3 linked regions of the Elephas maximus indicus genome follow. The protein of the gene in region 3 binds, or shares a complex with, the protein of the main gene of each other region. Links are inferred from orthologs where the notes say so. Each region holds a gene or a part of one and is shown on either strand. Other genes may lie near its edges. The genes, in order: MED8, MED18 and MED25.

Region 1 (3,749 bases), on a different chromosome or scaffold from region 3:
GGCTATTTTTAGATACCCTGTCCCATTGTTCTGGGCAATGGCTTTGTTTCTATGCCCTGGCCTCTTTCTTGTTATTTGGTTTGCAGATTTGGGGGCCCCTCTGTACTAAGTCTCTAGGTTCCACACTCAACCCCATATTCCCTTCCTGATTGTATAGTCTATTTCTCTTTTACTTGCTTCTTCTCTAATCACAGTAGTCTCTTCAGTATTTCTCAAACAGGCACCCTCCGATCTCAGGGCCTTTGCTCCCTGTCTTAGGTTGAGAGGATTAACTAACGTCTTTAAAGTGCTTAGAATAGTGCCAGGCATGCCCTAAGTATTCTGTAATAACGACTACTATTTATATCATACACACCCGACACTCTTTTCATCTACGAAGCATATTCTTTTGTAATACTGGGCACTTCTTCTAGTGGTAGTATTCTTTTCATATTGCAGAGGATGTATGCTCAAGTCTTCTAAAATTCCTCTACTCCCCATCTGAGTATCACTTGAACAAGGTACTTAATGCCTCTCCTTTCTCAGCTTCCTTAACTGTAGATGAGAATGGATATTGCCACCTTCCCTGCACGTTTGAATGCCACAGCCTATATAGTTTCTTGTGTGGTCCTTAACACCTAATGGATACCTCATATACATGTTCTGGTTTAATACACGTGGTTCTCACAATACACGGTAAGTAGGTACTTAATAAAGAAAGTTACAGGATCAAAGAAGTTAAGGCTTGTCCGAGGTTGCACAGGTAGCTAAATGGCAGGGTCGATACTGGAATGAGGTCTCATTCCGAGTCAAATGTTCTTTCACGCAAACCAGAATCGCCTTTCCAAAAAGCATGAGTGCTAGAACTAAATTTATGCTTCTGATGGCATTCCAATGCTTAAAGAAATGCTGAAGTCGGCCTACTGCCATTTTGCCCACTGAAACAGCAACCGAACACCAAGATCCAGGCTTTGATAATACCACTATTAGGACAAAGAATCCTGAAAGCGCTAGAGTCGGCGAAATGGATGAAACTTCACTAAACAAAAACAAAGCGAAAAATTTCTGCTCTAGCTCCCGGGTGAAACTTCGGACCGCGGAGAGGTTAGGTTTTCAAGCCTCTGGGGCTGGGCCGGTCCCTGCCAAGGCTACACAGCCCGGCCGCTCTCAGGCCCGTTGCAGGCCTCAGCCGAGCCTGCCCGCCGGAACCACCCTCCGATCCCGAGGCCCACACTGCGGCCGCCCGCCCCTCACCTCCGGCTCCGGGCGCTCCGAAGCCATCACAGCCCTCCGGCGCAAGCTGGGGCCGGGAGGCGGTTCCACCCTTGACCTCTGACCCAGCTACCTTGGCACCCGAAAGGAACCGGAAGTGGGTGGGAGGGCCGAGTGAGAGTTTTCTGATTGGTGGAAGCGGCTATTCCAGAGCCGCTCGCTAACTTGGGAACCGGAAGTGGAAGTCATTCCCGCCACCGGTGCCACCGCAATGCAGGTGAGAATCAGCTTGGGCATGTTGACTGCCGACGAGCTTCCGGTACCCGCACGGAGAGTGAACTGGCCCAGGAGGAGTTGGGGCTGAGACGATGGGTTAGAGCCCGCGGATGACTGGGAAGGGAACGCAAGGCCGGCCGAAGAGAGGGTGCCGTTGATGAGAGATGCGGCGGGGCCCATTTGACAGGAGAGACTGTGGCTAAATCGGAAGGAAGTAGCCCTGATTTGGGTGTGGGAAGGATTAGGTTGTAATATGAGGAGCCTGAGATGCAGTCCATGGAACACTTCTCTAGCAAGTGAGCGATTGGCTTAGGCCCCCGGCCTAGGAGGCTGTTGGATGTAGAGATTTTGTGATCTTTTGGAGAGAGGCCTGAGGGGTGAAGGAATTATGTGACCACTGAGACCGAAAGCTAAACTGTTTATATCATTAGGCCGTGGGTAGAACCCATGGTTAAAGCTCGCGTCAGGCACATTAGCGAGTTTGCAAGACGGTTTTACATCATTCTTCCCGGTCTGTGGCCCATAGCTGTTAAAGGTGAAACAATAAAGTAAAACAGGAGCCCATAAATGGGGAGGAAATGCTTTCCGGACCCCAAACATTTCAAATTGTCTAGTGCTTAGACCCAGACCCAGTGCCGTCGAGTCGATTCCGACTCAGTGCATTTTTTAAATTTTCATTTATCACTTAGGTTCTTCTTTCTGCCGGTCTCTCGGTAAATGTATATAGGTCGACTGAGCTTGTGAAAGAATCACAGGGATATTGGCATAGAGATAAACAAAATAAATGCAAATTAATTCTGTGAGGAGGAGCTCAGAAACATCAAACGTCGTGGGTAGAGGAAGAGTTTGGGGAAGGGGGGAGGGCAGGAATGGTATTCAGAGAAAGCTGCACGTGTAGGTAGATTTCCCAGAGATTGTGTCATTGGCAAGAATAGCCAGGCTCACAAAGTAGGTTCGAGGACAGAGGAAGCTGGGGTACATGTGCTGCAGAGGTTCACAAAAGATAACGCACGCAGCCATTAGTTTTAGTAAAAATTTCTTAATGAGGAAGAATGTGGCACAGTGGTTAAGCACTTGGCTGCTAACCAAAATGTCAACGGTTCAAACTCACCAGCTGCTTCTTGGGAGAAAGATGTGGCAATCTGCTTCTGCAAAAAATTTACAGCCTTGGTTACCCTATGGGGCAGTTCTGTTCTGTCCTACAGGGTCACTATGAGTTGGAATCGACCTGACAGCAGTGGGCTTGGGTTTGGTTTTGGTAATACAAAGAAAGGAGCTGTGGTGGCACAACAGTTAAGTGCTCAGCTCTTAACCGAAAGGTTGGCAGTTCGTACCCACCCAGCGGCTCTGCAGAACAAATACCTGGCAATCTGCTTCTGTAAGAATTACAGCCAAGAAAATCCTATGAGGCAGTTCTTCTCTGTCACATGGGGTCACTTTGAGCCAGAATCTACTCGAGGGCACCCAACAACAACAATACAAAAAAATCAGGCCTGGAGTAGGTGGTGATGAGAGGAAGGAATCAGCTGGTTGGAGGAACTGAGGTCTGTGAACCAGTTGAAAAGTTTAGGGTTGATGCTGTCTGTAACCCAAATGCCAAGCCTGGCTCTCCTATGCCAGTGAGATCCAATGTTACCTGACAGGTATTACACACTGTCCTCCTTGGTTTTTCAACCTTCCTTTCCAGTGGTGTAGTTGTTAAGAGCTACGACTGCGAACCCAAAGGTCGGCAGTTCAAATCCACCAGGAGCTTCTTGGAAACTCTATGGGACAGTTCTACTCTGTCCTGTAGAGTTGCTGAGTCCGAGTTGACTCGACGGCAATGGTTTTTTTTGTTTGTTTCTTTGTGTGTCATATTCACATCCACCTGGGTAACCAACCTGTTCCTATTGGTGCAGAGGGAGGAGAAGCAACTTGAGGCATCATTAGATGCACTGCTGAGTCAAGCAGCTGATTTGAAGAACTCACTGGGGAGTTTCATTTATAAGCTGGAGAACGAGTATGACCGGCTGACCTGGTAAGGGTTGTGTGAACAAGCTGGGGAGGGCTCTTTGCATGGAGGGACAGGCCTTCTGGCAGGTAGGACGTCTCCAGTGATGTAACCACTTACCAGCTTGCAAACAGCTTTTGATTTGGAAAGAGCTGGGTTTCTTAACATTTAACACATAGAGTTTGGCTTTGGCCCTCAATGGCAAAAGCAGAGAAATGCCTAGTTTCCCAGCCTAGGTTCTTTTTAGCTTCTGATTCCTACTTTTTTTACTCTTCTGATGAGGAGGTCCTGT
Region 2 (3,749 bases), on a different chromosome or scaffold from region 3:
TGTAGTAATTTAAAGGGTGGGGTCTAAAGTCAGCTGCTTAGGTTTGTATCTCAGCCTCTCCACCCACTTGTAAGTTACAGAACATCCAGTTGCTCGAGTTTCCCCACCTGTAAAATGACAGTAATAATAATAATAATAGAATTTGGTTCATAGGGTTGCTGTCAGGATCAAATTTTAAATTTTGATATTTTGTTCATTATGGGTTTTTCTAATTTTGTAAAATATTTCATTAAAATATCATTTATCTTCATTACTTTTTGGGGGGCACCTTCTTAAATGTTGTGCTCTAGGTGAGGGCCTCCTTGTCTCACCCAACTCCCAGCTCTGCCTGCACCTTAGTGCTTCACACACAAGCGGTGTTCAATAAATATTTTTAACTTTTATCTGTTTCCCTATATTTTTAAACTTGGGTATACTTAAAGTGAACTAATATTGAGTGTATTACTCAGCTCCCTAATTGTGCAGAACATTATGCTAAACAGTATAGGGCGCCTTCTCCTTTCACCCTCAGGTACACAACAGAGGCCTCTGTTTTATAACTTTCTCCCCTTCCACTCTCCTCTTTTCCCACTAAGAAGCGCTGTTAGGAGTTCAAAGTTTAGGCATAATCTTCAGTCCTACCAGTTCCAAGAGATTTCCTATACGAAAACGTCTTCAGGTCGTCAAACTTTAAAAAAAAAAAAAAAAATTCCTGCAGGACGGACTACGACGTCAACGCTCCTGGTAGTCCCCAAGAAAACGCACCGAAGGAGGCCACCATCTTCCAAACAGTAGCACTGCATCCGCGCTTGCTCTTCTGCTTGCCGGGCCGCGAAGAGGACGATTTCGTGACTTCTCGGCACCCGTACGTGGCGGAGCGGTAGTGTCAAGGTTTACGCGACTCCCTCTGTACTGCCGGAAGTAGGGAGAGGGGGCGATAATATGGTTGCGCGCGCCAGTGGACGTTCCGGGTTTGGGTAACCTGAGGGCTGGAGTGTAATTGTCGCTAAAGTTTAAAGGCTCCGAGGTGCGCGGGTGGATATAATTCCTGGCTTTGCTAGAAGAAGCATAGTGCGCGCTGAGGTGCGTTTCTAGTGTAAGTGTGCACGTATCCTGGAAGCCGGTAAAGGAGCCTTGGTGGCGCCGTGGTTAAAGCTCTCTGCTGCTCCCGGAAAGGTCGGCAGTTGGAACACCCCAACCGCTCGGCGGGAGAAAGACGTGGCAGTCTGCAGCAGTGTGCTTCCGTAAAGATTTGCGGTCTTGGAAACCCCATGAAGCAGTTCTATTCTGTCATATAGAGTCGCTGTGAGTAGGAATACACTCCACGCAGTGGGTTTGGTTTTATTTTGTCATCTTCAAAGAATTTCACTCTTTTTTCCGTCCCGCTTTAAAAGATGATTTCAGTATTCAGAGAGGCAGAGCCTAGGTTCTAGCCTGGTCCGGGCTCCGCCACTGACTTGCTGCGTGTCTTTATAGACAGGGTCCCATAAATCGTCTTTCAGTTCTTCAGAATTTTATTGCATGCCCATCATGTCGTTTGCGCTACAAAGTCTTGGGAGTTAGATATTATGGTCCCATTTAATAAGGAAGACACTGAGTCCCAGAGTGAGGAGTTCCACGGTTTCCTCTAACTTCCAGCTAACTTTTTGGAGAGTTGAGAATTTGACACTAGAACGTTATGCTGTAACTCCATGACCAGATCTTTTTTGTATATTTCTGTATCCGTGCCTGGCCATGTAACAGTTACTCAGAAAGTTTTGAATGAATCTTTTGATGTCCAGGCCAGTGACTCAAGCCAGTCTCTCCACTTCTCTGATGTTTAAACAAGTCTAACTCTTCTCCAGGTGTATCCTGTGCCTTACCTGATTGAGGGCTCTGAGTCCACTTCTGTGGTCTTCACCTTAATCAGACAGACACCATGGAGGCACCTCCAGTCACCATGATGCCTGTCACTGGGGGCACCATTAACATGATGGAGTACCTGCTTCAAGGTAAGTAAACCAGGGAACTTGGATTACCTGTCTTCCTCTTTTTTTCTTCAGCTTCCCTGGAGATGAGGAACTTATACAAAGCTGACATACACAATTTCTGACACTCAGTAGACAACAACTATTTTTTGTCCCAATATTTTATTATGGAAAATTTAAAGCAGCATCTTAGTTACCTACTGCTGTCATCAGAAGTACCACAAGTGGTAGCTTTAAGGAACAGAAATTTATTTTCTCACAGTTCTGAAGCTAAAAGTCCAAATCAGGGTCTCAGCTGTATTGATTCCTTATTTCAACCTGCCTCTTAGTTCCTGGTGTCTGTCGGTGACCCTTGACATTCCTTTGCTTGTAGCTGGTCCTCAAATGTCATTTGTCTTCTCCCTCTGTGTATCTCTGTGTCCATTCTGATCTTTTTATAAGTTAGAAGTTATTAGGTGTAAGATCCACCCTACCCTGGTATGATTTCATTAACATAAAAAAGAAACCGCCTATTTCCAAATAGGTCATGATTATAGGGACAGGTGAACTTACCAGACTGTCTCCCGCCTCAGTGCCTGTTATGGATTGAAGTGTGTCCCCCAAAAATGTGTGTCAACTTGGCTAGGCTATGATTCCCAGTATTATGTGATTGTCCATCATTTTGTCATCTGATGTGATTTTCCTATGTGTTGTAAATCCTACCTCTCTGATGTTAATGAGGCAAGATTAGAGGCAGTTATGTTAATGAGACAGGACTCAATCTACAAGATTAGGTTGTATCTTAAGTCAGTCTCTTTTGAGATATAAAAGAGAGAAGCAAGCAGAGAGGTGTGAGGACCTCATACCACCAAGAAACAAGAGTCAGGAAAATAGCACATCCTTTGGACCTGGGGTCCCTGTGCTGAGAAGCTCCTTGACTGGAGAAGATTGATGACAAGGAGCTAGCACTCTGAATTCAGTCTTCTAGCCTCCTAGACTGTGAGAGCATAAATTTCTCGTTGTTAAAGCCATCCACTTGTGGCATTTATGTTACAGCAGTGGTAGATAACTAAGACAGTGCCTTTACTTGATGACCCATCCACCCTAGATACTTTTTTCATATCTCTTCAAATGACCATCTAATTTTCATCCTTTGGGTCTCAGCTCAGTTGTCACCCCTTTATAAAGAGGTCTTCTCTGACCATTCCACCCCCTCAGAGAGACCTTCTCTCCTCCCCACTCCACCAGTTGCTGTCTCTGCCATCTCCCTTTTATTTCCTTATATTTGTTTGTTTCCTTACTTATTTATTTTTTATTTCCTGCACTAAACTAATCTCCATGAGGGGAAGGGCCTTCAACTGCCTAACACAGTACCTGGCATGGTATTAAATATCTATATGTTCAGTGAACCAACACTTATTAAATACTTGAAATGTTTGAGGAATGAACAAACGCATGTCTGATCCTGCCCTAAATACAGGATACCAGTCCCTGCTCCCAAGGATCTTCTATCCTGTGATTACTTAGACCTGGTCACGTTCTTTTCCTACAACACTGTTGTTTCCAAAAATTTAGTCATCTGAGTCCCACTATCAATTTTTGAGGTCCCTGGTGATACAAATAGTTTGTGGTTGACTTCTAACCTAAGAATTGGCAGTTGGAATCCACCCAGCAATTCTGTAGAAGAAAGGCCTAGTGATATACTTCTGTAAGATTACAGCCGTTGAAAACACTACTGAGCACAGTTCTTCTCTGAAATACATGGGGTCACCATGAGTTGGAATTGACTCTGGCAATGGGTTATCAATTTTTGCCATAATTATA
Region 3 (3,749 bases):
GAAAATCATAAACTGTTATGTCCCTGGACTTTCCGTTAGCACTTTTGAATTAGTGGAGATGAGTTTTCATATACTTACTGGCCCGTTTTAATTTTTCTCTTTGAAAAGACTGGTCGGACTCTTCCCCGTGTTTTAAATGACAAAGTATCTCTATTTTTTTAAATTCTAATATTTTTTTTGTGCATAGTAAATTTCTGTCGATACACATGTTACAAATATTTTCCCAGTTTATGGTCTATCTTTCAATTTAGTTATGGAGTCTTTTGTGGACAAATTTATCAGTATTTAAGTTTTCTGGTTTTGCCTGCTCTCTGGGTCATCTAGTGCTGCTATAACAGAAATATCACAAGTGGATGGCTTTAACAAAGAGAAGTTTATTTTCTCACAGTCCAGTAAGCTAGAAGCCCAAATTCAGGGTGCCAGCTCCAGAGGAAAGCTTTCTTTCTCTGTTAGCTCTGGAGGAAGGTCCTTTTCATCGTCTTCCCTTGCTTTGGGAGCATCTCAGCACACGAACCTGAGGCCCTCTGCTCCCAGCACTTGTTTCTTGGTGGTACGAGGCTCCCATGTCTCTCTGCTCACTTCTCTCTTTTATATCTCAAAAAAGATTGGTTTAAGACACTACCTAATCTTGTAGACCTCATCAATATAACTGCTGCTAATCCATTTTATATTACATCATAGTGATAGGATTTACAACGCATAAGAAAAGCACATAAAATGGTGGACAATCACACAATACTGAGACTTATGGCCCAGCTAAATCGACAGGTATTTTTGGGGGACACAGTTCAGTCCATGACACCTGCCATGAAACTCTTTTCCAGTTTTCAAGATTACACAGTGTGCTTCTGTTTTACTTCGTATGTTTTCATGGTTTCATTTATTCAGATTTTTAATCCACCTGGAATGTATTTATGTCTTTGGTCAGTTTCTGGGCCCTCTCCCAGAAAACATCCATTAAGTGTTGCCTACCAACCTCTACTTGAGTTGGAATTAGTTTGGGGGGCGGGGGGTAACAGCTGCACTCCTTTCCAAGTTGACTGCAACCTTAAATGATTGCCTAGCAACCTTGTTTCCAGCGATGTGATTGGACCTTTCCCCAAACCCCCCATCCACCAGATAGAAACTTAATCTCCCTTTAGAAAACAAGTGCCGCCTAGTTGCATAGCAACCAAATCTCTTGGCCAAATCGGATTTTGACCGGAGTGGTAAACAGCGGTGCCCCGCTCAAAGATGGCGGCGAATAGCCACTTTGAATGTGTGTAGCTCTCCTCGGCCCGGCCGATAATCCAATCTCCGGCATTAGGCTCCTGAAATAATTCACTAAGCCTCTTCCGAGTCTCCCATTCTGAGGGAACAAGCAAGGAAAAAGATGGGGCAAAGGCGTCCTGGATGCCCCGCACAAACATGGCCGCGGGGGCGTCAGCAGCTGCGGGAGCCCGCCCCGCGCGGGGACGCGCGCGGCGCAGGCGCTTTTCCGGCCATTCCGCGAAGGTGGCGGCGGCTGCGGCGGCGGTGGCGGCTGCTGCTCGGGGCATGGTCCCCGGTTCCGAGGGCCCGGCCCGTGCCGGGGGCCTGGTGGCCGACGTAGTGTTTGTGATTGAAGGCACGGCAAACCTGGGGCCCTATTTCGAGGGCCTCCGCAAGCACTACCTGCTCCCGGCCATCGAGTGAGTGAGGTTTCCGCGACTGCGGCCCCGCCCTCCAACTTTAGTTTTCCTCACCTTTTTGCCTGACCCCGACCTTTCACTTCCGACCCTGACAGGTATTTTAATGGTGGTCCTCCTGCGGAGACGGACTTTGGTGGAGACGTGAGTCTCGGGACCGCGGGGTCTGAGGGAGGAGGGGGCCGGGAGACAGGGACTCCGGGCTCTGAGGGAGGAGGGGCCCGGGGACGTAAACTCCCGGGTCCGAGGGAGGAGGGGGCGGGGCCCTGATTAAATGTTTCTTCTCTTCTCCTCTCAGTATGGGGGGACCCAGTACAGCCTTGTCGTATTCAACACGGTGGACTGTGCTCCCGAGTCCTACGTACAATGTCACGCTCCTACCAGCAGCGCTTATGAGTTTGTCACCTGGCTCGATGGCATTAAGTGAGCTTCTTCCCTTCTTGGGGCAGTTTGGGGAATCCTGTGAGGAAGGGTGAATGAATGGTTGCTTGGGTGTGAGCTGCAGGAGCCATTCACTCTCACTGGGTGGCTGAAAGGACTCTGTGAGGGCGTTTGTGTGTTTTTGTCCCTAAGTCACTTCTGTGGCAGGTTCTGTATGTCATCCAGTTTGAAAGCAGGAAAAACTTAACCAGTCAGATGAGATAGGTCTGGTTGAGCTCTAGCATCTGCCTCAGACTCCATCAGTGACTGAGCTGTGCCCTTGCCTTACTGCCCGCTGTTTCCTGTCTACTCCAGGCCTCTTTTTCAGATGCGTACATTGAAGTCAAGAGGCTCTAGTGGCACAATGGTTAAGCACTCGGCTGCTAACCAAAAGGCTGGCACTTTTAACTTACTCAGTGGCTCCATGGGAGGAAGACCTGGCAATCTGCTCCCCCCAAAATTAGTGGAAAAAAAAAAAAATTACAGCTTAGAAAACCCTGTCAGGAGTTCTGCTCTGTCACATGGGGTCACTAAGAGTTAGAATTTACTGGACAGCATCTAACAACATTGAAGCCTGATAGCAGGAGGCCCAGGGCTAGGCCAAGTGGATCCTTCTGTGGTTTGGAGTGGATTTTCATAGTTCATAGTGCAAACTCTGGAGTTAGCCTGGGTTAGAATACTGTTAGACTACAAGCTAACTCTCAGACCCAGGAGTCCCTTTTCCCGCTGTGCTTGATGTAGGCCATCTGTAAAACAGAGACATTGATCATGCTTATGTTAGTTTTTGTTGTAGTACCTAGCCATTGTTGCATAATGAATCAGGGTCCCTGGGTTGTGCAAATGGTTTGGGCTCAACTACTAACCTGGATATTAGTGGTTTGAGCACACCCAGTGGCACCACGGAAGAAAGGTCTGGTGATCTGATACCATAAAGATTACAGGCAAGAAAATCCTATGGGGCAGTTCTACTCTATAATGTTTGGGGACGCCACGAGTTGAAGTTGACTCAACTGCAATAGTTTGATTTTTTATAATAAATTACCCCCGAATGTAGTGTTTTCAAACAACGAATGTTCATTACATTATTTCATGTAGTTTCTGTGAGCAAGGAACATAGGAGCAGCCAAGCTGGGAGGTTCTGGTTCAGGGTCTCTCATAAGGTTGTAGCTGAGATGTTGGCTGGGGCTGTAGTCATTTGAAGGCTGAACTGGGGCTGGAGGAACCACTTCCAAGATGGCTCCCTTACATGGCTGCTTCAGTATCTTCTCAGCACGGCAGCTGGTTTGCCCTACAGTGAGCAGTCCAACGTAGATCACGAGGGAGCCACAAGGCCTAAAAAGTGTCAGAAATCACGTACCGTCACTTCTGCCAAATTCTGTTTGGCACACGAGTCAGCCCCGTTGACTGTCTAGGAATACCCAGAATGTAGTTCATACTTCGATCGTCTAGTAAACCTCTGTATAACCTTTCAGACCCAATGAGGGCACTACACAAGGCCGTGAATACCAGGAGCGGGGATTGTCCGTGGTTATCTTGGAGCCTGGTTATCACGACTTCATAGGGTCATTTTGATAACTAAATGAATCGATGACAGATTATAGCCAAGAAAATCCGTGTGGAGCAGTTCTACTCTGTAACGTACGGTGTCACCATGAGTTGGGG

What was found.
Region 1: MED25 (region 3) and MED8 share a complex: the UniProt entries of both Homo sapiens proteins name them as parts of the mediator complex. The link is inferred for Elephas maximus indicus from reciprocal best matches to the Homo sapiens genes MED25 and MED8.
Region 2: MED25 (region 3) and MED18 share a complex: the UniProt entries of both Homo sapiens proteins name them as parts of the mediator complex. The link is inferred for Elephas maximus indicus from reciprocal best matches to the Homo sapiens genes MED25 and MED18.

What each region holds. Positions count from the first base shown.
Region 1 is NC_064821.1:85,606,416-85,610,164, reverse strand, and holds the start of MED8 (mediator of RNA polymerase II transcription subunit 8), read left to right. Parts: upstream 1-1,390; 5' UTR 1,391-1,462; coding exon 1,463-1,468; intron 1,469-3,365; coding exon 3,366-3,484; intron 3,485-3,749. Other genes in the region: KICSTOR complex protein SZT2, read right to left, coding at 1,234-1,260. UniProt on the Homo sapiens protein: Component of the Mediator complex, a coactivator involved in the regulated transcription of nearly all RNA polymerase II-dependent genes.
Region 2 is NC_064821.1:68,790,945-68,794,693, forward strand, and holds the start of MED18 (mediator of RNA polymerase II transcription subunit 18), read left to right. Parts: upstream 1-900; 5' UTR 901-1,006; exon of another isoform or gene 1,007-1,284; intron 1,285-1,823; 5' UTR 1,824-1,897; coding exon 1,898-1,970; intron 1,971-3,749. UniProt on the Homo sapiens protein: Component of the Mediator complex, a coactivator involved in the regulated transcription of nearly all RNA polymerase II-dependent genes.
Region 3 is NC_064829.1:100,257,679-100,261,427, forward strand, and holds the start of MED25 (mediator of RNA polymerase II transcription subunit 25), read left to right. Parts: upstream 1-1,492; 5' UTR 1,493-1,536; coding exon 1,537-1,670; intron 1,671-1,765; coding exon 1,766-1,811; intron 1,812-1,965; coding exon 1,966-2,090; intron 2,091-3,749. UniProt on the Homo sapiens protein: Component of the Mediator complex, a coactivator involved in the regulated transcription of nearly all RNA polymerase II-dependent genes.